Styela clava: one gene and its partners. The protein of the gene in region 4 binds, or shares a complex with, the protein of the main gene of each other region. Links are inferred from orthologs where the notes say so. Each region holds a gene or a part of one and is shown on either strand. Other genes may lie near its edges. The genes, in order: THO complex subunit 6 homolog, THO complex subunit 4-like, uncharacterized protein LOC120342097 and THO complex subunit 3-like.

What was found.
Region 1: THO complex subunit 3-like (region 4) and THO complex subunit 6 homolog share a complex: the UniProt entries of both Homo sapiens proteins name them as parts of the transcription/export (TREX) complex. The link is inferred for Styela clava from reciprocal best matches to the Homo sapiens genes THOC3 and THOC6.
Region 2: THO complex subunit 3-like (region 4) and THO complex subunit 4-like share a complex: the UniProt entries of both Homo sapiens proteins name them as parts of the transcription/export (TREX) complex. The link is inferred for Styela clava from reciprocal best matches to the Homo sapiens genes THOC3 and ALYREF.
Region 3: THO complex subunit 3-like (region 4) and uncharacterized protein LOC120342097 share a complex: the UniProt entries of both Homo sapiens proteins name them as parts of the transcription/export (TREX) complex. The link is inferred for Styela clava from reciprocal best matches to the Homo sapiens genes THOC3 and CHTOP.

Annotation. Positions count from the first base shown.
Region 1 is NC_135252.1:9,988,619-9,995,450, forward strand, and holds THO complex subunit 6 homolog, read left to right. Parts: upstream 1-4,565; 5' UTR 4,566-4,723; intron 4,724-5,020; 5' UTR 5,021-5,023; coding exon 5,024-5,551; intron 5,552-5,763; coding exon 5,764-6,216; 3' UTR 6,217-6,332; downstream 6,333-6,832. UniProt on the Homo sapiens protein: Component of the THO subcomplex of the TREX complex which is thought to couple mRNA transcription, processing and nuclear export, and which specifically associates with spliced mRNA and not with unspliced pre-mRNA.
Region 2 is NC_135253.1:1,065,846-1,072,640, forward strand, and holds THO complex subunit 4-like, read right to left. Parts: upstream 2,937-6,795; 5' UTR 2,088-2,936; coding exon 1,973-2,087; intron 1,839-1,972; coding exon 1,673-1,838; intron 1,548-1,672; coding exon 1,361-1,547; intron 1,220-1,360; coding exon 1,084-1,219; intron 895-1,083; coding exon 737-894; 3' UTR 514-736; downstream 1-513. UniProt on the Homo sapiens protein: Functions as an mRNA export adapter; component of the transcription/export (TREX) complex which is thought to couple mRNA transcription, processing and nuclear export, and specifically associates with spliced mRNA and not with unspliced pre-mRNA.
Region 3 is NC_135252.1:15,318,163-15,324,044, reverse strand, and holds uncharacterized protein LOC120342097, read left to right. Parts: upstream 1-3,841; 5' UTR 3,842-3,995; coding exon 3,996-4,613; 3' UTR 4,614-5,356; downstream 5,357-5,882. UniProt on the Homo sapiens protein: Plays an important role in the ligand-dependent activation of estrogen receptor target genes. May play a role in the silencing of fetal globin genes.
Region 4 is NC_135250.1:23,430,478-23,437,333, forward strand, and holds THO complex subunit 3-like, read right to left. Parts: upstream 3,003-6,856; 5' UTR 2,668-3,002; coding exon 2,494-2,667; intron 1,865-2,493; coding exon 1,708-1,864; intron 1,475-1,707; coding exon 1,347-1,474; intron 1,269-1,346; coding exon 1,192-1,268; intron 890-1,191; coding exon 728-889; intron 647-727; coding exon 529-646; intron 343-528; coding exon 184-342; 3' UTR 35-183; downstream 1-34. Other genes in the region: mitochondrial inner membrane protease ATP23 homolog, read left to right, coding at 1-5; large ribosomal subunit protein eL27-like, read right to left, coding at 4,568-4,616, 6,020-6,130. UniProt on the Homo sapiens protein: Component of the THO subcomplex of the TREX complex which is thought to couple mRNA transcription, processing and nuclear export, and which specifically associates with spliced mRNA and not with unspliced pre-mRNA.

The DNA of each region.
Region 1 (6,832 bases), on a different chromosome or scaffold from region 4:
ACAAGAACATATAATAATATAGAGTGTATGAAATAATATATTATCTATTTGACTCTGTATTCGTGCTGCAGTTTTACTAGCGTACTGTTTTTCAATTTTCCTTTGTCACCTCTTTTGCGTGAATATTCAACCAAAATTTTAAAAGCGGCATAGTGGCCAGATGAGAAATTATATTTCGAGCAGTCGACTTTATCTGTCAGAAAAGTAACCGGCGACCATATATTATGAAAGGCATTAATACGATTTCTCTTTGGATGGGTGGCACAAATATTGGGTAAAACTATCGTTTTTTAAATTTTTATCATGTGTGGCCAAAAAAGAGTTAGTTACGATTATGGGCGTTCATCGGGATTGACACTTTCCATAGAAACAAGCGCATCTCTGCAGATTCCACAGTCTCGTTTTTTCACTTCTTTGAGCACAGCCTAACCTGTTAAATAATCGCAACTTTCACGAACCCACACGATACCAGTATTGTTCCACTAGCGGTCGGAGACTTACGACCTATCGATCTTCCGCATGTTCCCTTCACTCTGACTTAATAGCGACACCACGTGTTCCATCACTAATTAAATAATACGACATAATCCATCCAAAACCAATAGGCTTTTGGTCCGAGATATGATGAATGCTCATACAATATTTGGAGCAGATTCAATCTCGCTTTCGTAAGATATCGCGTAACATACGGAAGTGTCTAATAGACAAACGAAAATATCGGTCAGAGACCGAAGACTAATCGATCGAAAGTTAGCGTATCCCCCAAAACAAAAACTGCGGTTTCGATCCATCCGTTATGACTCCATAGCGACACCGTGTGTCCCATCACTAATTAATTTATAACTCGCTAATTATACGACATATTTCATCCAAAATCGATAGGCTTCTGGTCCGAGATATAATGAATGCACAAAATTTGGAGCAGATTCAACCTTGCTCGTGAGATATCGCGTAACATATTAAAGTGTCTAACAGATAGACAAACAAACAAATACCTATCAACATACTTACCGATCGAGATCGATAAATAACAAACAGACAAATACCTATCAACATACTTACCAATCGAGATCGATAAGTAATAACTAGGGCTGGGAATGGTTAACCGGTTAACCGATTTCATATGGTTAACGGTTATGATTTATTTTAACCGTTAACTGACATCTCAGGTACAAATCATCTTTATACCGTACAATTTCGTCAAATATGATTACATCATCGCAAATTCATCTTTTGCGGCGTTTAATTCAAAAAAATATTACTAACTGTGTGGGTAAGGAATCAATAAATGTGAAAAATAATGGAAGCACCAAGGTTGCTAATAATGAAAATTTACAATGATGAATTCAGAATCAGTTTTCAGAAATATATTGTTCACGATTTCATTGCAAAATCGGATATTCAATGTCATACAATAAGTGTACAGTTGATGCCGTTTTTCTTTATGATATATATCTCGAAGTAGAATTTGCACATAGAACACTCAAAATTTGTCGGGTTTTCTAAAATATTTCCACATGCCCGAACGACGCTGCCTATATTTTGCAGCATAGGAATCATGAAACTATCTCGATTCGTGAATAATTTTGAGTGATGGCGGGATAAGAACACGTGAAATTGTTTTATAACCATTGTGACGTAACAAACTGAAATTAGAATTATGACGTCAAACATCACGCGGCGGTTAACCGGTTAATTTTACCCGGTTAACGGTCAAAGTGTTTCCCTAAAATTCCCAGCCCTAGTAATAACACATCTTCAGACAAATTGGGGAACGAAACCTGATCAGCGGACTGACGAAGCTAAATCAAACAGAGGCTGCCGCGTTTCGCCGGACACAAAACGGCGTCGGATATGCATCATTGCACTCATTGTTAGCAATTGGGTTATAATAGTCAGTGGTGAGATTCAACAGGTTCGCACCGATTCGTTGTAACATACTTTTGTAACAGAACCGACTGAAAAATATGGCTTTTGTGATGGAACCGGCTGACAAAAAAAAATTGAATCCCACCACTGGTATGTATGTATGTTTGTTTGTCTCGTAAAAGTAACAAACGCATATATAGATTATCATTACTGAAGACGGGATGTATGCACAAGACCATACTGGCCTAAAACACGAACGTGGAGCATGCACCCCGTTTGAAAATTTTTAAAAAGTAGTAAATCGAATACATATAATATGGTCTCTTATACAGACAGTTGTGCAAGAAGTGTGGGTGGGTGTGGTAATAGAGGTAAGGGTGGAGTATACAAAACTGTTTGTACAGGAGTGTTTGTGAGAAAAGACAACATCTATAAATACGACATAACACCACACAAAATGAACTAAATAAATAATACTAAATTTAGAATTTGGACAAAAATACACCCTTGATTGACGGTATCATGGTCATGTTTAAACAAGAGTTAGTGTTCAATATCATGTATATGGTATGGACTACTCAAGTGTGATCGTGACTTTAGTAGACTATGGCTATTCTAGCAAAAAGTTTTGGTGAAATGGGATAAAAATATGTATCAACTTATCTCTATATTTTCTAATCATAAATATAATCAGCAAAGATCTGGATTTATAACAAAGCATTTCCCCAAACTTGTGGTGGTTTCACTTTTGGCAGAACGTTAAAGAGGTTTAGAAGTGCAATGCAAATGAGAATATTAATATATAAATGAATATATATGGTTATAGTCACATTGGTCTAGTCCACCTCTCCATGCATCCATCCAACTTGGCAATTCTGATTGGGCAATTTGGCATATAAGTGACTCCAACTATAATCAACTTCAAATGATAATACCTTTCTATCTAAAGTCTGTACTCTTCAAACCTTACTTGAGGTTTTGTTTGCTTTCCGATTCTATAATCAGTGCTATTTATTTTGTTTTTATCAATCATTTTATCGTCTATTATATTGATTATGGAGTCGAAAAAAATGATAAAAGAATAAGTATAAAGAATTTGAACCAGTTTATAAGCGCTAACTCACGAAAGCACTCTCAAAACAAGAGAGCTATGCTCAAATATGTGGAGACGCAGCGCCACCTAGTGGCAAATGTCGATGACGTCATGGCACACATAAAAAACGAATCCCATGCAGTTCACCGGGATATTTGAAAAATAAAAGTAATACCCTTCTAGCGAAAAATTTAATCTTTGAGTACTGAAAATTCCAAAGCGATTGGTCCGGTAATCAAGAAGAAGAAAAAGAGTACCAGCATAAAATGCAAAACGATCGTTATGAGAGAGAGAGAAAGAATTTATTGCTTTTGTCAAACCAGAAAAACAAAACGATCATAATATATATTCACAAAATAAGAATTCAGAGTTTTCGGTTTATGACTGGGAGAAAACGATACGACCGATAAGGTCATCAGAGTCTGTCCACTAACGTGTCCAATAACAAACAAATTTTGCAGGGGCAGGTACTGTATATGAAGATTTTTTCTGGAAGATTTTTTTTATATATGAGGGCTACTTGTATATTTGCAAAAACTGCCTTTTATTTGTCAGGCTGATTTATTGCTGCTCCCAATAATTTCATCGTTTACCTATTTTAATATTGGGTTTAAGTTTTTAATATGCCACAGTTGTTGTCTTGTTTGAAAGGCTTACTAATAATAGTTATTCAACCTAAATTGCATTTATATATATGACTATTGATCGTATGTTTACCAAAATTGTTTCTTAATTGGGGTATATAATAATTTTTCAGTCACCCATTTGCCAAAAATCTTTCTTGTTGCTTATCGATTTTAATCGGTAAGTATGTTGATGGCTATTTGTCTGTCTGTCTGTTAGATGCACGCGATATCTCACGAAAACGAGATTGAATCTGCTCCAGATTTCTCATGTGCATTCATCATATCTCGGACCAGAACCCTATTGATTTTGGGCGAATTATGTCGTATAATTGGCGAGTTAATAATTAAATAGTGATGGGACACAAGGTGTCACTATGGAGAGCGCTTTTTTGGGGGATCCCCTAACTTTTGATCGATAGTCCTCCGTCTCTGACCGATATTCTCGTTGTAAGGTTGATTCCTCTCTTGAAACAATTGTTTTACATGAGTACCATGTTGTTTATCTCCTATTTATTCGTACATGTAAGGCTGGTTCCTTGCTGATTCGAATAATTGTTATGTGTCCAAATTTACATTTGAGTATAGTAGTCCAATAGCCAAAATTGTTTTTTATTTGTGGGGCTCACTACTCACTTTCAAATAATAGTGTAATAGTTGAAAATTTGCCCAAACTGTTTCATTTCACAAATCTCATCATTTAAAAATTGATTTCACAGGGAAAAAAATTAATTACTTTTATTTACTTCATTTTTATGTTTGTTTTTTTCAAATTTTGTGTCGTGAACTTCAACCATTTTTAATAGCCATATTTTACTGTGAATTTATCAGCGTAAACTTGGAGGGGGCTGACTTCGATGACCGCATGGTCGTTGTCGTATCGCTCCTTCCAGTCTATACCGAAAAAAGCGTACTTTTTTTATAGCCATTATTTATTTGTTATTATGACTGTTTTTTTTTCTGGTTGACTAAATAAATCTCTCTCTCTATCTCTCTGGAGTCGAGGGTGACAGTTATGGAATGAAGCATGGGGATAAATGTCGTGTCTTGGCGTATCCCGCAAGATGGTGCGCAAGATTCGCGGGGAAACTTGATAATTTCAGGATATGAACAAGCCGGGCATGTGGAGAGAATTTAGGTAATTTTCACTCGGAAAGAAGGCGGTGCCGGTACAGAAGACGTATACGGACATGCGATATATATATAAGTTATGAGGAACTAAGGTCTTAACATTAGGCAGTATACTAGTGATACCGGTAATATTCACAATTTGCCCCCGCATGAGCTCATGTCTGCATGTGCCTTACTGCTGTAGTCTACCTTACTGACTCTTCTTCTAATGCTGTAATGTGTCATGCAGTGATCCAATTTGTTGATATACAATTCATATTACAATAAACTTAATTTACCTACTTATTTATATTCGTTTCTTCAGACTATGGATTCAAGACACTTGCTGTGTACAACTGTGTATTCCACTGTATTTTCTCCTTGTGGGAAGTTTGTTGCTGCAGCAAATAATTTTGGACATATATCTCTGTTTAATTTTGAGAAAGCAGTCACACTCAATTCTCTTAAGTGGCAAAAATCAATTATTACATTCAAAGCCCATGATGGCCCAATACATTCACTGGTGTCCACGAAAGACTGCCTCTTAAGTGGAGGAGTTGGGCCAGTGGCAGCTTGGAAATGGAATGATATATTAGAAAGGAAACCGGCAAAAGTTTATACTCTGCATGAACCATCACAAGGAGATGAAGGATCATTTTCTTCAAATGACGTAAATGTTCTTGCTTGCGACGAGACAAAGCTATATGCTGGAAGAGATGACAATGTAGTGTGTATATGGGACTTTAATTCTGGAAAATGTGAACGGATGCTTATTGGACATACAGAATATATTCATGATATTGCAATTATTTCTCCTAATGGCCTTGTTTCTGCATCAGAAGATGGTAGTGTTAAGGTATGCACTTAATAGTAATGTCTGTATATCATGGCATGCATATCATGATTTTTCATTAAAATTCAGGTTATCTATTTTTACCAATTTATGATTTTGAGTCGATAAGTATCTTGAACAAAAGCGACAGTAAGCCATTAAATCAGCCTCACCCTTGACAACATAACCCTTACTACAGCACTATTCCTTTTAAACTTAAACAATGATTGTTTCAGGTTTGGGACCTTCGTATGGCACAGGCGACAACTACAATTGAGCCGCATCAAAACAAAGAGCTAAGTCGGCCACAATATGGAAAATGGATAAGCTCCGTTGCTACAGATGATAATGGGCAGTGGATGGTTTGTGGAGGAGGACCGAAACTATCACTCTGGCATTTGCGATCTCAAAGTCAAACTGCTGTATTGGATTGCCCTGAGTTCACACCATATACAACAGTGTTCCATGAAAACTTCATAGTTTCTGGTGGAAATACAAACTCTGTACACCACTGGTATACCAATGGTGATGAAAAGGCTTCAATTCCTTGTGGCATTGGAACAGTCTTCTCTCTAACGTTCAATAAAAAGAAAAACACAGACAGTGCACCATTGATTGCCGCAGGAACCAGCCACAAACTGGATGTATTTTGTAACCCAAGTTATAGATCACACACATTAAATCTATGATATGCAGATACCTGCATTGCACATTTATTATAAATTTTCACAACGAGTACGTCAGCTTCATTGGCTACAACGATATACATAGGATGCAAACAATAAAAAATGATTGACTGGTAAAATGCCTACTGCAAATCTAAACTGGCTCAATACAGCTTCAGATTGATTAACACTTGACACCAGTCAGTTAGAAGCAACTAAGAATTTCACAGTGGCAACAACCTGATAATAATCATGCGCAAATCAGCTTATTGGCAATCAATGGATTGACAGTTAGTTGAGATTCAGTACTTAACGAGAGGTATACAATAATATTGGATAGCGAAAGTAATAGCAATTATTCTTGAAGGTTTTGTTTATAAGTAAAGCCACCAGAGGAAAAAATATTATATAGAAATCGTGAGTGATTTGCAACTCACTTAGTCCTGTGGCGATGCATCATAATATTAATACTTGATAAATCAATAAACACAATTAACAAAAAGTAAATGAAGTAAATATTATATCGAAATTGTAAGTGAATGATTTGCAATTCTCATTAAGTCATGTTACAAAATGGCAATGTATTATATAATAGTACTTGATATACCAATAAACACAATTTACAATAAGACGATCAAAA
Region 2 (6,795 bases), on a different chromosome or scaffold from region 4:
ATTGAAATATTAACTTTGATCAAATATAGTACAGAGACCATTCCAATTTAAATAAAAAATATTTATTATTCCTAAACAGCATGTAAACACAGAGGTCAGCAGGATGTCATGTATTGACCGGTGACAGATTACAGCGCTGAAAGCGATTGGATCGCTGGATCTCCTAAATTCACTTGCTTTCATTCTCTATTTACCAACTATGTTGGAATACTTTGGCTGGCAGTTTTATGCTGCAGGCATGACAACCCGCTTCTAGACCAGGCAAACTTCAATCATACACCTCCATATATATGAGTGATGAAGAAACGCCCACCATTCTGTCCCTAGCAGTTACTGCGGCAGACACCTCATTGATAAAAAGTTTGCCTTGTTAAACAGTACAATTAATTGCTAGGGTGAGGCAAAATTCAATCATACACCTCATATATGGGTGATGGAGAAACGCCCACCATTCTGTCATTTTACTCCAAATCTTGTATACCAAACCTAACAGTTATTGCAGCAGACACCTCATTGATAAAAAGTTAGCCTTGTTAAACAGTAAAATGAAATATAAAAACCGAAGTGTTGCCATGATCTCTCATCCCGGCACACACTCCACATGAGAAAGAATTGTATACATAAAGTTATGGGCGCGGCGACATCATTATGTGTTCATGGCAGCATGGAACAACAATCACTGTGATTGCGTTGAAATGCAGGTCATTCGCAGTTTAGGCAGTCTTTTGCACAAATTTCATTCAGTTTCCATTTTAGAAATGTAGTCATCAAGTTGTTTATCAAGTTCTTCAGCAGAGACATTCTCTTTTGCCTGTCTTCCTCGTCCACCACCTCTACCCCTTCCACGACCAGCACCTCCTCCACCTCGTCTTCCTCCGCCGCCACGTCCACCACCTATTTATGATAGAAACAAATTGTTTTTAAAATCCCCAGTACAACTCCATACAAGATCAATTATTTGATGTCATATGCAAGCTTTTTGTACATTTTTCAAATATTGATACTAGGAGGGGATAAAATCTAACTCATTCTGATAATTGTTCTAACCCACTAATTCAATTATAATGTGAATTATGGAGTTACCTTGATTTTTTGGGCCAACACGAGAACCTAATCCACCTTGTGCCCTGGTACCACCGCTCACATTTCCTGACCCATCGACCAGTCTGATCTCCATCGCACGTCCATCTAGTGGAACACCGTTGTACTGTTGCATTGCCTTCAGAAAAAAACATACGATCATTAATGGTCAGTCAAGTATATTGTGAGGTTTCAATGTAATGAAATTTGAATGACAGGCACATATTATGTATAGGTAGCTTCAAGATACAATACCATTAAAATATCTTGAAAAATTCACCTTCACTGCATCTGCCCTCCTTTCAAAGATAACATCAGCTGATCCCATTGAACGACCTGATTTATCATAATGAATCGCAGATTTCCTCATGGCTCCAAATTCTGAAAATAGCTCTGTAATATCTTGATCAGACACACCGAAGTCCAAATTGCTCACCAGAAGTTTGCCAGTTCCACCAATATTGCCTCTGAAACATGATAAAGATTTAAGAAGATGGTCATAAATTATAGTTAGTAATACAATATCCCTTGAGGTAACATTAACATATGAACACAAAACGACTTGCGCAAAATTTGGAACAATGCACCACACCTGGCACCACCAGTTCTCCTGACTGGACCTGCACCACCTCCTCCACTGTACATGTCATGATCCCATTTATCATCGGGCACACCTCCCGATCTTTTGTAAGGTGCAGGTCTTCCACCTCTTCGTCCGCCACCAGCTCCCCCTCCTCTCCTTCCATCTCTTCTGGCTCCTGAAGCAAAAGAGTCCCAAGTTAGTAAGCTCTTTAAGATTGTATAAGATGTGGATTAATCAGTTATCAAAAATTCTCATACTGATATATGAACATTTGGTGAAATTATAAATGTCAGAATGTTGATAAATTACCTCCCCGTCCGCCGAAACGCCCTCTTCCTCCACCGCTACCTCCTCTTCGCCCACCTCTACCCTTCTTGTTTTGAGAAATAATGTCATCCAAAGACAGATCAATTTTGTCACCCATATTTGATGGTTTGCTTGATTGGATAGGCTTTAAATTTTCTTTCTTCAAATAATCTCTCACAAATTTTAAAGCACACAGCAGTGCAACAAATGAATCAACTTATAAAAAGCTATTAAACAAGTGGCATTGTAACCTCAATTGATCAAATTGCTCCATTTTCATATTTGAAAGATGATAAAATTGATGCAACTCCAGCTGTTCTAGTGTGTGTTGCCACCAAGCAGCCAAGTAGACTTCAGATATTCCAAGAATACGTGACTGAATGCTACTGAACACCAAAATGGAAGCCGAAATTCTAGCTTTATTGAAAATTTCACCGCCAGACTGTGGTCATAGTACACCACATCATCTTTAAATCATTATCAAATTGTGATTTCAAATAAGAGAACTCCAGCTGATACACTAGATTACTCCAGTTGAAACACAAAAGGAAGTCCATTATAATTCCAGGGACAAACCGATTATAAATCAGGATGTCAACCAGAATCAAAAGTTTATTTACCACCAAATGATCAACCGATTCAGCGATTGTGTATTGACAGATTGAAGGCAGGTGCTGACAACTGCTACGTTGGATGACAATCCACTACCAAAGAACTCGACAGCGAGAGATTTGAATTTTCAGTATCTCTGTATTCTGGTATTTGAAACCTTTTCCATCCGCCATTCCAATATCAGGAAAATAACGAGACTACATTGGTAATTCGATTTTCTTATTCTGTATTCCTGCTTACAGCCTACATTGTAAAAACTTGCTCAAGAACCCCTAATGCCCGCTCCGTTTCAGAAATAGCGCTGAATTATCAATAAAGGAGTGAAACGTGAAAACTCAACAAACAAGAGCAACGGCGACGTTTCACTAATCCAACAGCACGCCACACACACATATATAATCTCGTATCAGCCTACCACAAGAAACGGATTTGATTGGTCCAGCTAATAAAAAGAAAAAGGTTTTGGAAAAGCCGTTAGCATTCTATCGATTAGAAGTCACTTGACAATACTTCTCTGCACTTATCAAATATTAGTATCAGGAACCGTCGTAATTCTACCATTCGTGGCGCAAAAAAATATATGCTTTGGTGTCTCACTAATTAAAGGTGCTATGTCTAGTGTTAATGAAAAAAACCCGACACGCACGCTGCAGCTTGAGGTGTAATAATCCGATAAGAGGCGCTAGTTTTGATTCAAGCGCTTAATGCCGTAACTGGCAGCCTGGGATAGCCTATACTGGAGCCAAATACTCCTAGAAGATGAATGATTATGGAGATTCAAAATATATTTATTTGGCCGACTAGCTGGTCTCTCATGTCCAATATTAAATGTTGTCACGTACATTTTTGACAAGATAAAATATAACGAATAGGTAAACCCACTAGAAGTAGAAATCTCATGGCGTTAATCGGCTTCTAAATGTTGTATATTTTGCGCTAAGAGATATGATGTTGCGTATTCTTTTGAGACCCTAGCGTACGCTTGCTGTTGTAACTCAAAATCACATACAGTGATTCGTTGGATTTAACAAAATTTATTTCACTTTATTATGTTCACCACTACGGCCATTAAAACACCCAAAACATATTTTTGGACGTATTCAAGTCTGCAAAACAATCGGTGTTTAATAGCACGTAAACGAACTGCCATTGCTAAATACTACATTCATAATCGGACACGTCAGTGTACATAACGATCGTTTCAATATTATGTGGTTGTTCTTGTTATTATTATTCTCCTTAGTAATGATGGAATCGCTTTTCTCTTCGAATACTGTACCAATTGCTTTGAAATTTTCAGTGGTTAAAAATTTATTTTTTGGTAAGAAGGCTATTACTTTTACTTATTTTGAAAATTTCTGTGAACTTCAAGAAATTCGTTTGTTATGTGTAGGGCTGGGCATTTTCGAATACCTTGTGATTTCAGAATCGAATCGAATAATATTTTTCGAATCGAATCGAATCTCGAATACTTGAAAATATATAATTGTAAGCGATTTTATTATAGTAATTGGTCCTCCCAACCAGAGGCGTAGCCAGCGTATTTTGCGCCCGGGGCAAAATATAAAATTGGCGCCCCGACCCCCACGTTCAATCATGTTTTCTATTGCATTTAATTGTATATGTAAAAACAAATTATATATCGTCACGCTAATAACCGAATTGCGTAAGTCATTTTTAGCTGTTTTGAGAAAAACGTAAAAAAACTTCCTAATGATATTTCTATGCCATTGAGATTCATTAATTTGCCATAGTTAAACTTTTTGATCGTAGCCGGATTTAAGTTAATTTGTATGACGCAGTCATGTGACGTCATAATAGCGCACTGTGACTTAGGCAAAAATGTGTCTATTACTAGGGGACATACGCAATTTTGCAACTTGACTATATGTACCAGTCCTGAAAACCAAACAATCCCTAATCTGTTTCAACTACATTATTTTTTATGTTTAAAAATATGTATTTCATCAATATAACACGCTCTGCACACTCACCGAAATAAGACTAAAGTTAAATATAAAGAATAAAACATTAATGTACCCCTATATAAAAGTCAACCAAGGTGAATTGGACTCACAAGTGCACGCCTTCCTATACAGTAGTATAAATTGAAAATTATTAGCGCTAAGCTAGAATCTGAGATGCAAAAACTCGAAAATCCTTCGCCGAGGTTATTTTGCCTTTTGCAAAGCTATACAAAATAGAGCATATGTCCCACTCAGTTACTGTCAAAGATGATTTACATAGTCTACAATAAATTCATTTTTTCAATTTCACTTTCGTAAACTGGTTAACACGTCGTCAAAATCTGTTTTTTTCCAATGTTTCTCTTTCAACATTTAGAAGTGCAAAATCACTGAGACGATCCTGTCCCGTTGATGCACGCGAATACGACAAAATTAGTTTCAATTTGAAAGACCGTTCACAGCTTGCAATTGAAACTGGTATTGTTAACAAAATTTGTAGAGAAATTCGCAGATTGGGTAAAACGTTGTCTCCAAAAGACACAATAAAACCAAGAAGAGCCAAAGGAGTTTCTGGTTGACCTACAGTTCTGCTACTGAGCAGCATTCTGCAATCTTCAATTTCGGTGAAAAGTTCGTGGCCATTGATGTCCGTGTCGTAGAAATTTGCAAAATCTGTGCAATCTCGACGAATTGTCGAAAACGGCATTGGGGTCTTTTAGCACAGTATAATATATTTTATGTAACTCTGCCGCAAAGTACGGTACTTGGCAACAGCGAAATACAAAACCACGTATTACTCAAAACATGTTTCCGTTCGTCTCCAGCACAGAACTAATATCAACTTACATCGGAGTGCGCAGGCAAGAACTTAACGATACAGAACCACGTCATTAACCCGGTGCATTTTGTTACCTAACGTTACCAAATCAAATTTTGCTTTGTTTCCCAGCAAGATTTTTTGGCCATGTAATTACGATGGAAATCTGACCGTGCGCGAGCTATGTGCGTGATGATGTCGGCAGTCGTAAGTGGTCTGACCAAGTGTGCAGTTTGCCATGTACTAAGACTAGATGTCTGCCGCCGGTGCGATCTTGCATGTGACTGTATTTTACCCTTGTGAAATTTTTGCAAGCCCCATTTTGGCGCCCCTGTACCTTGGCGCCCGGGGGCATATGTACCCCACTGCCCCCCCTAAGCTACGCCTCTGCTCCCAACACATGAATTACCGAAGACATATATTAAATCACCCAGATAGATTACTGAGCGTTCACACAGAATAACAAACACGTTTTATCAATGACTCACTACAGAAAATAGTCATATGTTAGAATTTCGTTGGAAAAATATGACTCCAAGGAAAAAAAAATTGGGGAATTCACCTCGACCATTAGCGGAAAGATAAAAACAAGATGGCGGCGATTCGAAATTTAGCTCTGAACCGATTCGAATAATTTACTATTCGATTCGATTCGAATATTCGATTCGAAATGCCCAGCCCTAGACTTATGTGTCAGAATAAAAATGTAGCGACACTTTGTGACGTGTTCATAAATTTGAGCATAGCTATCCTGTTTAAAGATCAGACTATTATTGTCAATTGAACTCGCAAAAGGTTTCCTTATTTCAGAAAACCATGCCGAAATTATAAATATATAAGAGAGATGAGAAACCATTTTTTATTAAAATTATTTTATTATTATTTTTTTTAAATTATATTTTTATTGTGAAAAAGATTATCTTTTTGGGGTTATATATATTTATTCAAACTTTGCATCAACGAGAAACTTGCTGTTGCATCCACGAAAAGCCCTTCTGTATTTGACTTCAGATCGATAAAGCACAGGATATCGTTGATTGGTAATCGAGCCTGGGCAATCTAAGTAAGCTAATTGGATTAATAATGGAAATCAGTTTCGTCTCGTCTCTCGCTGTTGTATTATCCATCCATGAGGGTGCTAAAATCCATGGGTTAGGGTTAGTATGGGTTCAAATATCCGTGAAAAAAATTCCAGGTGCAATAGTATGAAAGTCCAATTGTCGTGGGTTCAAATGTACGTGGGTTCAAATGCAATGAAACCATCTCAAATATTTCCACATATAGCCTGCTCTGGAGTCCTATACGTCGTTGGGTATATTAAGATTCGCGAAGGATATTTATAATTTTCGATATGCTGTCGTAGCGAGTACACAAGAATATGTACCGTGTATCTCAATACATTTAACCACGTATTATTAAGGGTACATAAT
Region 3 (5,882 bases), on a different chromosome or scaffold from region 4:
AAAATCTCTCTCTAAATATTTCAATATTGGAAAATATTATAGGGTCAAGGGTTGGGGATATCCGCAATGCTAGCGCTCGTGCTGCAAATTCGACAAATACCGGTACCGTAGTCACTTTGAAATTCGAAAGCTCTGATGCTTAAAATGTTCAACAGTACTCACACCATTTTTAGGATTATTTACCTCGGGGGCGATGCCAGTATAGTTAAAACAAAAATATGAAATGTGAAGATATGAGTAAACTAAGATAATTTTTTATTATACCACACCTAGTACAGTACCGGTAGTATTCGGCCATTGGCAAATATAAAATTTAAATAGTCTACTTCTATCTGTCTATGGTTCAATCTCAGACGGGTGGACCAGCCTGGAGCCATTTGAAGGAAATTTTGTTGAGATTACATGGATAGGTAGGTGGCAAGTGTTGGATTGAGTGAGTGTAGGGATGTAGAATAATTTTCTATTCTAGAATACTTGAATTGAGAATGCTGAATCCCATTCTACAGTTCTATTTTTCTGTTTTTATTGTTATTCAAATGTGAAGATCGTGCCACCACATTCAGACATTGGGTCTGGTATAGTTTAGTACCACATGCACTTCTAGTTGGCCTGGCTCAACTATTTTTGCATATGTCAATCCTAACCCAGTAACCCCTACCTGGCTACGTCACCGAAAAATTACGTCATTTCGACGTCACAGTGGCGTAATAAGGCCCACCAAAGTATGCGGAAGGTAGTCCAAAACGCGCAGACGATCATCCGAAATCGAGCAAGCTATTTCTCTCGTTTTTTCGTCACAACGATCCCGATACCAGAGAGATCGCCGGCGTTAGCGAGTTCGTTATCAGCGGCGCAGATGCCATTTTGGGCGATCGTAATTATACTTTGACAAGCCCTATGAGTATGACGTGATGATGACGTCGTGGTCCAGTCTGGATTTCATGGCCTTTTTGAACGAGAAATCGGGCGTGCAATCAGAAATTCCCGCGTGCAAATAAGAATTCCTGGCGTGCAATTATAGCTCACGACGTGCAAAACAACTGCACTCGCGTGCAACTGACTTTGACATCAGATACCTCTCAATACATCCGCGTAAAATTACCGGTATCGGATAAAAAATACGTTGAATCACAGAAAAAATGGACGTTTGACCTTTGACCCCAAACATTATTTCTACAGTTTGTCGCTAATTTTGAGAGTGTTTGTGCGACTTTGGATACCGGTACTGTTCAGTACATCCGTGTAAAATTATTGGATAAAAAATACGTTGAACCAGAGCAAAATGGACATACTTTGTCATTAATTTTGGTAGTGTATTTACGTAGAATTAATGGATAAAAAATACGTCAAATTAGAGCAAAATGGACGTTTGACCTTTGACCCCAAACATTATTTTCATACTTTGTCACTAATTTTGGGAGTGTTTGAGCAACTTTAAATACCGGTACTGTTCAGTACATTCGTGTAAAATTATTGTATGAAAAATACGCTGAATCAGAGCCGTACTTGGCCATTGGTGCGGAGGCGATCTTTTCGTCCATAACTATTCTCACGGGATTCATATTTCCTATCATTCAACACGATATGGACCTTTCCCCGAGCATCGACTTCCTTGTTTACTTCGTGACATTGGCCAATCAGCAAGATGCAAAAAAGGACGTGAGAGGAATTTTTCGCGGTTCAAAGGTTGGGGAAAGGTCCATGGTCTTTTTGCTTCGCAATATTTCGATCAGACCAAATCTTGCAAGCTGGTATTTGTCGACAATTGTGGAGTTATAATATTTTGGCATCTTTATATTACTGGATTATTGACTTTAAAACCATTTAAACCGATTTACATTGGTGAGCAATTGCAAATTTTCGGCGTGCAAAATTGTTTTCGCTCGCGTGCATTTTTGCGGAGCGCTAGCGCCCTCGGGCGTGCACCTGCCATGGAATCCAGTCTGGGTCGTGGTGACGTAATTTTTGGATGGCATAGTCAGGTGGGGGTTAGGAATAACATATGCAAAATTCGTTATGCTACGCCCACTGGAAGTACTTGTGGTACCAAACTATACTAGACCCCAGACATTGCTGGATTGAAATTTAAGCAAAATTTCAAACATATTACTGTCTTGGTATTTATTGGAAATTACCTGAGCATTGGTTTTTATTTGATACCTAACAGGCATTCCTCAGGACAGCAGGACAATAAAATTCTAGAATTGTTCGAAATTCATGTGATCCCTAGATAGAGAGATACTGATATGCTAAATTAGGACTCGCATTATACATTTTAATAGTAAACTAATAATATTTGATCGAAATTTATCACAAATAATGTTATAACATTTAATGCCTTGCTTTTGGTTCACATCATTTTTTCGAGAGAAATCGTAGGCCGCTAAAAATTGTCTATGTAAAATGGAGTATGGTAATTGGAATAGAGGGTGGCTTACCCACTTTGCGGCCAAGACCTATTTGCGACCATCAACTTCATCGATTAAATTAATGTCGAAAAAATTAACGAACCGAGACGATATTTCTCACGCGTTATCGTCCACTTACCGTATCCCTCGTAGCTCTGCGAAATTACACTAAAATGCGGCCACAAACAAAAAAGTTACTACCGAAAACCCGACCGAGGAAAAAAAACGGACCCTTTTTCCATGTCGCCAACTACCCATTGTCCCTTTGAAAAAGCTTGAAAATCCATACAAATATAAGAGATAAAAAGATGAAACTTGGCAGGTGGGTAGAGTTCTGTTTCTTTCAACCATCTTTAAAGTTTTACGTTTCCACATTCAAAGGAGGGGGAATAGGAGGGTGCGCATTTCCAATACGTCGATAATAGCATTGTCGACCAATTCGCGACCACCGTGTTTTTGTTTGTTTGATTGCTGTAATGCGGTGCTTTATTTATAATTTGACGAGTTTTGTTCGAAATAACCTTGTTCTTAAAATATATGACGGTCAGAAATGCAATTAGAAGCTAATTTTTTTCACGCATGGCTGCGTATGCCCTAGTCTCGACGCAGCAGAAATGATGTTCAAGGCTTGAAATTTGTGGTCGCAAACTGGTCGTTCGGTCGCAAATAGGTCTTCAGAGTGTCGTACTTTGGTCGTAGAAAGTTAATTCGAGGTTTAGCGTGTAGAAGAAATGCCCATGCACCTACTGTGAAAAAATTACCAGGTTAGAAATATTGGTTTTTGTTTCATAGCGGTTTGAATGAAATCGACCGCAGACTGGCTACGCCACCCTATTGCCAGTAAGTTGGCACCAATGATTATTATATGTTCAGATGTTACTTTTATAGTAGAGATGAAAAACGCGAAAATTGTGCATTAATGAGATTTCGTTGTGAGGTTTCATCGTCTACTTATTCTGAATATGTCGGCTGAGATTACCATGTTTGATGTCTGTCACTTTTACGGGCTCTCCGAGAGCAAGTGCAAGTATAATCAAATGAGAGTGATTTTGGCATACATTGATTAATGAATTAGAAAAGTCAGCAGTGATGACATCATGTTTGCAGATGTCATTGATTTATTCATAAAATTACCACATTGTTTTCTTTGCTAAGTTTGCATTATAATCATGGAATCATTGGGAATCTCATTAAATCTCAAATAATTTCAGCCACTTACGGACTTATAATTACTGATACCAATATTGCAAAATTGTTCTGGGAAACGAATCTGGCCTAATCAAAATAATCGAAAAAATGGAGCCTTGCTTAGAATAGCGGCAAAAAATGAAAAAATTTCGCTCTATTTTTTGCAGAAGATTTGTTTATATATATATATAGCCTAATTATTATACTAATTTTATTCATTGCCAGATATTATTGTGTATTTACTTGGACAAGATTTATTTTCTCAATATTTTGCAGAATTGTGTGTACTGTAAGATTTAAAGTTGAATTATTGACCCGCTTGGAATGAGATAGTTTAGTGACGATTAGAGTTTTGTTACTTATTATCCAGTTATTTTTGGCGTATACTCCAGAAGTAGAATGGCGTCCAACCCACCTGCCAAAATCGTTCTCAAAAGCTCAACCAAGGTCAGTCTTAATGACCGTTTTTCTACGATCATGAAAACACAACGAACAACTTCCCAAACTGTGCGAGCTCAAATGTCCAATGAGAGAATGGCAAGTGAAAAGAATCGTCGACTCGCACAACAAATGGAAAGACGGCCAGCAGTTGCTGCTGCGCTTGATAATAAGCCGGTGTCGATTCGTGACAGATTAGGAAGTCCTCCAGCACGAGGAAGACGGGGAATAAGAGGCGGAAGGTTTCAAAGCCGTGGACAGTTCGTTCGAGGTGGTCGTGGTCGTGGAGGGTTTCCCAGTCCTCGCGGCAATTCGTTAAATAGAGGCCGCAATCCAGGAAGACGTGGATTTATTCGTCCTACGAGAACTGGTAGAGGGCGTGGAACGGGTATGAGAGGTAGAGGGCGTGGCATAAGTCGTGGCAGAGGTCGGGGAGGTCGTCAAGGAAGAGGTGGAGCTAATCGACGAGAACCTGCAGACAAAGACAAACTTGATGAACAACTTGACAGTTATATGACTAAAACAAAAGGTGCAATGAATGCTGAGTTGGACAGCTACATGGCCGAAATAAACAATTGAATCCAAGAACAATCATGTGATACTATGGTTTCTTCATTCGAGGGAGGCATCTATGCGCCATCCTTTTTGTAACATTTGTTATTCGAGTTGGTCTAACCACTGCTGTGCGTGTGTGAGTTTCAGAATTTTATATCGATTCAAGGTGGGTTATACCAAATAATCCATTACAAAAAGATGGCTGTCAATAGTCTTGTCTTTTAAATTAGAAAAGCAATAATAATCATTTTTTCTCATCTGGCTATCTACAATCTTGATTACTTGGTATATAGGCAATGTGTAGACATTTGTGTATGGTTTTTTTTGTATTTCTCTGCTGTCCGTATTCTAAATTGATTTTGTAAACAGCAAAACTGTCGCATTCCTATTTTTTTTTGCTAAATTATGGAATTTTTCACCACATAAATGACAGATTTTAGGAACTGTTTTGAAAACTTTTCTGAATTTGAATTAAGTTTTGGGCCAATGTCTAGTTGTCTTTAAATGGAGAAATTGTACAAAATTCTTGTTTCCAAAAATTTGATGATGAATTAGTTTGACACATATTTTATACTACATTTATGTTATTCCATTTCAAGATTTAGACCGATCTTATTTCTGGTTTTCAAAATTTATTGTGCTTCATTTGTTGAAATGCATTTACAATTATTTTTGATAACATGTTTATAGAGGTGATTGGTGGTGGTATATTATTGCTTGTGATAAATGAATGGACAATTGTAATGCATTCGCAATTCATTTTTAGAGTTGTATTTAGAATATTGTATCATTGAGAATACCTAGTTCTTTGAGGTGGAATCGAATCTATCGACATCTGAAATAATGACGAAGTAATCTTGAACATATTTCAGGAGAAGATTGGATGCGGAATTTTGTGACTTGCAATCATTCTTTGGGCTCTGAATATCTTGCTTCAAATACCTGTGGTGGTAATTTATGGAATGCAAGTCCACGGCTTATTTGCTATGATTGATACAGATATTGTTGCATGACATATGAAAACACACACAAACTATTGAGCAATTTGTAAATTGCTATTCATAAGCAAACACTACCACAGGTATAAAGATGTTTGCCCTAAGAAGCTTGTATGAAGATGAGTAAATTATGGACACTAACATTTGAAGTTAATCAACTCCTAGACTGAGGATGCCGTAATGAAGTGAAGAAGAAGAATTTTAAAGTCTTCAACCATTAAAGAGAAATCATGGTTCTGCTGCTATCAATAATAAAATTTCTTTTTATGTGATATTGCATTCAATATATTTTGCT
Region 4 (6,856 bases):
TATGAATGACCTGATGTTTTCTATATTTGTATTATTTTTCTAATATCCAATTTCAAATGAATTCACTGTTGCGTGATACTTTGACCACGGTGGTCAATCCATATGTGTTGAGTGTACGCTTCGCTCCCGCTACCCCATCGTCTTGCTTGCTAATTTCCGAAAAGAAGGTGAGCTCTCAAACCCTTACTTTTTGTCACTGTTGGACTCGCTTGAGAGACCAAATAATTTAATTGTTCCGGCATCTCTATCATGTTTATACTTGTCTTTGTCATCACATGCGAATGCGAGTAAGAGTTGCTTAGGATGCCACGCTACGGTGAATGTTGGTGATTCACATTTGACCTGCATGGCAAACAAAAAAAGAGAGCAGTGTCATCCACAAGTGTTCCCAAGAATTAAACCAAGAAACAGAAAAATATTCAGTCAAATAGGGCAAAAATAGCCCCTAGCGACTTCGATTTTGGTTTAGTATTTCCGCCTCCATATACTCTGTGTCTGAATCAAGTAAATGATAGACAGAGTACCTACCTCACAAACATTTTCACCGGTTGCTACGCTAGAAATATCAATGAAATGATCTTCAGATGCCGAAGCTATAAGTTTGCCATCATGACTGAAACTCAATGTTCGAACAGGCCAGTCAAGCCTAGCACAAAAATATATTTAAGAAAATGTTTAGTGGCTCTGAAAATGCAGTATATGCTTGAAGTTTTTTTGTAAAACCTACCTTGAAAATGTCTGCACACAAACAAGTTCTGTTACATCCCATAAATTTACTAATGCATCAGCACTGCCTGTTGCAAAATAGCGACCTGTAGGGTCAAACTCAATGCATATACAGTTGGCTGTATGTCCACTAAGCGATTGAATCAGCTTTAGGTCAGGATAACTGTAAATTAATTTCACAAATTGTTAAATAATGCCTGAAGTATATTTAGTGCACTGGCCCACTGTTTTCAGCAAGCCATTCTGAGAGAGAAGAGAAAGCACCAGACCTTGCCTGAATGACCACACCGTCCACTCGCCCCAGATACCGATAATACTTATCTACTCTTTTTACTGATACTCTAACACTCATTTATATATAGCTTGAAAAAAAGGCCTCGAGCCCTCACCCAAACCTACTTAAAAGAGTACTTATTTTAGTAATAGTGCTTAGGAATGTATTTGAAAGAAATAAATGCTGCTTACCTTAGTATATTAACAGTACCTAATCCTGTCGTCAGAAAAAATAGATCATTGGAATTATTCCAAGAAATTTCATTCACCTGGACAAATAAAATAAAAAATATTTCACAAAAATATCCATTACTACGTTGGCTTAGTTACAAATACATGAAACTTACTTCAACTTTAAACTGCTCATATGCCTTTACTTTCCATGTTTTTGTATCAAAAAATGTCACCAAATCTTCTTTATTTCCAACTGCGATTGTTTGCCCATTGGGACTCCAGCATATGTTTATGTTTTCACCTGGAATACCAATATCGATGTTGTCAAGCTAAATTATAGATATATCTCAAATCAGTGGTTGGCACGATGTGTTAAGGATCAGGAATACACTTGCCATCGCAAATCTGATCACCCTGCGTAGGATGGTTTCCATGGTCGGTTACAGCTTCCTAAAGCAAATCAGATCCCTACTTTCTGGGAAATGGCTTGGTGAGATTCCCGAGAGCAAGTTGAAATCGCTAATTAAACAATACCTTTTGTTTGCATCGTTATTGAGCATTTCCCACTTCTTGCGTCCCATATTCTTACTGTTTTATCACCAGAAGCGGTTGCAAATAAATCTGGATGGCTTGGATGCCAACAAAGCTGATCTACACTGTCTGTGTGCCCTTTGTATGATTGATCTCTGGACTAAATCACAAAAAAATGCATATTAGTCTACAGATATCTATCGTTGCTGTTAAATGGACAATTCATTCCGAGATAGTCATATCTAATCCAGCTTGGTCTTTTCATTCATTGTGCATTAAAAAGACAATCATCACATTTGATTTATTCATAAATTATTTATATCAAAAGGGGTGTACGCCTTACATTTGTGTTTTAGGCCAGTATGGTCTTGTGTATTTATAATTACTAACTCTTTTATATTGCTTTTACGAGACGAATAAACATACATACATTAATCTGCATGGGTTTACAGGTTCCTATCCCAAGCAGGGATAGTTATGTGTGAGAGTATTGCTGGACTCCTCGTCGTCGTAGGGTGGTTCACGTCTTAACTAATGGCAGAATGGTTGCAAGAAAGGTATTTAACATGTTATTGTATCAATTTCTCAAACAGGTTCACATCTAGAATATTGAAAATACTGAAGAAATAGCAACAGACTATGTTATAATGAAAGTTTTCTATTTATTTTATATCGCATTTTCCCACGAGAAACCTGGTTTCTGGGAAATCCCCCCCCCCATTTTCACAATACCAAGATACCATTATACAGCATTGTCTGATACAATATGCACGTAAAACTTTTACAAACCAGCCTGTCTTTATCCAGAGTAAAAACACTGGCAGTTTGATCGAAAGATCCAGAAGCAAGTCTTCTTCCGTCACAGTTCCAAGCAACAGAATGGACTTTCGATGTATGAGCACCATATTCTTTTTGTCGATCGTGTAATTTAAAATATTGCTGCATTTTCTTCGTGAAATCCATTTTTAACGTGGCGCGCGAGCTTTAATTTTTAGCAAGTCGCAACTGATCAATTTTAATTTCAATTTAACCCGGTATTATTATACCAACACAGAAGATTTACTGAATAAATCATTTTATATTTATCAGATTTACATTAAAAATACGAGGCAAAAACACTCTTTCACTTTAAATTATTACTATTTCATTGCTGCTGTAGGTATTCACCTAGTTTAAGTAAATTTATGTAGTTAATAAACAGTTTTTGTTTTTTGAAGATTATAATAATGAATGATTTGTTAAAAGCTTTGATGCATGAATAGTTATGAATTGGACCGTCAATAAATACTAATGTACAAGTAAACACCGTGCATTTATTGTGGAATGTTTTCACTCAAAATGTTCCATTAGTAAAAAGCTTACTTTTATATATCTGGTTTTGTCAATAAACAAATTTTTCGTTACTGGGCAAGTGTCATATTGTAAACCTAGAAAGCTTCATAGCGAGAGAGAACGGAACGTAGTTGTGAATTTGGCGTCCTTACCTTTTGGGGGAGACAAATACGATTTACTTACTCCAGCTTGTTATGCGCAGAAGCTGCAAAACGTTTCCTTGCCAAGACTTAAGAATATTATAGAAAATGCAATGTTATGATTACTCTATATGGCAAACATCAATGAATGTTCAGGCAGGAATCTTTCGAAGGCATTCCATTTTTTTGCATTGTGATATAAGATGGTCAGCACGTTCGCCTGATCTTACACCTTCTCACCATATTGCGTGGTGATATATAAGGGGATGGTGTACAAGCACCGATAAACAACCATGAATGGATTGAAAGCTGCAAAATAATAAATGAAATTCAACGAGAAATTTTCGAAGAGTAGTGGAAACGCTCGCAGCAATATATGGACCTTTCCCCGAGAATAAACTTCCTTGTTTACTTCGAGATATTGGTCAATCAGCAAGATGCCCAAAGTGACGTAACAATGCTCCCTTTTCGAATCCGCTCAGATACTTTTCTCACTCAGGACAGATTTTCAAGCCTGATCGTAAACATTAACTTGTTTTTGAACTCTATTCGTTAGTTTTCGGAAACTTAAATATAAATCAGATAATTCAATGACTACTCTGTCTTCCTAGGAGTTTTAATTTAATTGCTGTAATAAAAAAATTAGTGTAGACATAGCTTTGATAGCCTAGGCTAAAATTTTTTATCGGTACTTTTAAAAAAGAGATTGTTGTATTGTATGCGATGAATCATAATGATGGTTTGGAACACATACCCCCAGTTTACTGGCGCCAACTCGCAAGAACACTCTTAAAATAACCCCGAACATTTTGCAATGGTAAAATATGGGTAGAATTTTTCGGGGGTCAAAGGTCCGGAGTCATTTTATACATGGTAATTTTCTAATATTAATCTCTAATAATCGACGCTAGTTGGCTGATTCGCATACGATAATTACCATCAATAACATTGATTTTGAGACTTTCCCTCCCAATTTGTTGATTTAGATCTGGGAACATTGGTTGTCGAACCTGACACACACACTATGCTAGTACCGCCATTTTGTTCTTTCTGCATTGCCATTCTTCCCGTCAGTGGGACCAGAATAAACCAACAAATGAAATTCACAAAAGCTCAGAGACTATAACATTGCCCTGGATAAACATGAACTACCTATCTTGCAAAGGTTACGTCAGTAGAGAGTGGATTTGGCACTTAAATTTCTATTTGTAGCTTGTTTTTTATCCTGAAAAAGGCCAACATTTTGTTTGCCACCCAGGCGTCTTTAAGTTGAAAGTCGTATTATTCTGCAGTCTGGCCTTACATTGATCAATGCGTAAACTCTGATAGTTGCAACGAAATAAACACACAATAATGGTTTTATGACATATATTTCGAACTTCGTAAGTATTTTAAAATCGAAGCTTCTGGAAAAACCATTTGTTCTTGCCGGTCTTGTATCTGAAAGATATACATGATAATTCAGTATATTATCACCAAACATGTATGGAACAATTGAATATATACAAGTTTAATCACAATTAAATAGGATATAAGCAGAATATATAGCCTAACTCCATCTCCATCCATTTGGGGATGAACATCAAAAACATAGCAGAAAGGATAGCTTGTGTCTGGGACATCCAGGTATCGCAAAAATTTACAAAGGTTTCGACTTCGACTTGAATGTACTTTCATCAGGCATAAAAAGAATTGATAATTTTCATTTTAATCGCTATGAAAGTTTAATTTTATCGAATGTTGACCTTCAATGAACTCAGCAAGGTGAGGTAAAAATCATTATAGTAAATAAATGTTGGGAATATAATTTGATTATTGCCATGAACTACTATATGGCTCACAAATCTAGAATAAGTAGCGCAAGTACAAGTAAAATTCTTGAAAATTTGCTTTAAAATTTATTATTGCGGACTCAATTTAATGCCTAATGACATATGTAAAGTATAAATTATCCGTAATAATATTTACAAATGAAGATTCAAGTTTTAAAAAAAAAAGAACTGTTGTATGCTTCAAAAAAAGTTAAATTCGGATTCAAAATTTAGTTTTATACTACATGTACATAGTATTGAAAATGTTTTAAAATACTCTTTAAAACCAACAGATCATTCATTTTTTATGAGCCATATTCAAACAAAAAAATATGGAGTACTGAAGCCTGTATATACTGCTTCTTCAGAAGCCACATTCACGTAATAATTGCTAAATCTATTAAAGCGGTGGTTCTCAAACTTCTTTGTATCGGACACTCTTGGAAAAATATGCTCAAGTTGCGATTCCCTAATAAAACATCTTGATACCTTTTACTAAAGACCTTTTTCGAAAAAACGATCATACAAAACATAACAAAAGTCAGTGAAATGGCATTTAATGGGACGGGTGTACTGCTTGTGGTTGAATTGTGAGAGCCGCAGGCATTTACCTTTCAACATTTGCTCGAGATCTATATTTCGTCTAGATTACAACCATGGTAAAGAAGCCTGCTTCACATAAATACGAAGTCGCAAAGGGGATGAGATGGCGCAACAATTTTTAACCAAGAAATGATAATTTTTATCCGAAGAAATCCAAAGACTACTTGCGAATCTTCTTTTTATAATTTCTTGTTCAAATAAAAAAATGTTCAATCACAAAACAGGTACAATTCCACAAAACAAAGAAGAGTTTTGCGACGCACCAACAAAATGTGCTTGTGCGTCGCCCACTTTAAGAACCACGGTATTTGCATTAAAAAGTTTGTTAAAAATAATCAAATAATTCTGTTGGTATCCTTATTAAAAAAGCAGGCCACCAGACCTTTATCTAGAAAAATAACGTGAAAAAGAGAAAAGAAAAAAACTAACCTCTCTTCTAATTTTGATTTAACTTCTCGCCTCGCTTTTCGTCGACCAGCAGGATCTCTGATTGCCTCTTTATTAACAACTTGTTTGTCAATGGGAACGTCAACGGAATATCTATGGTAGACATAGAAAATATTCGATATAGAAGTGTTTCCTACACCATGGAAATTGGTTGAACACCTACGAGTCCAGGTTGGAAATGGGGATATTTAACCCAACCGGGGCTGAATTGCACTCAAGAGAGAAATTTTGCCGTTTCAAGGTAGAATTTTGCTCTGTATTGAGGTAATATTACAAATATTTTTTACTATAACTACAACACATATTCATGAACACACAATCAACTACTTAAACTATACAAAACGAAGGTGTGACTCGTGCCTATAACACTAACATTGAATAAAAAAAATAGTTTACATGCATAGTGAGGGAAGAATAAATAATTCTCAATGGGGCAAAGAAGGAATTGAACAAAAAAAATTGGGAACAACTGCATTAACCAGTTGATAGTTCCAGATGCATGGATGTGCCACTGCCAAACCATTGATCCATCAATATAGTTACTAAATTTGAACATACACATATCATGCTCAAATACCGGTACCGGTAGTTTTATGTTTTCTATTTTGAGACACCTGGAGCTACGTTTGCTGCAAATAAGACTCAGGATAAACAGACATTAGAATGTAGAACACTCGTTTTAGGATTATTTCCATCTCTATTCTGTCAAACTTGAACATAAGAAAACCATGAAGATAACTTCATAATAAAATTTTACTGCTATGAAATTACAAATATCGTTTCGAGACAGGGCGAGTAACTACAGTAAATATATATCTA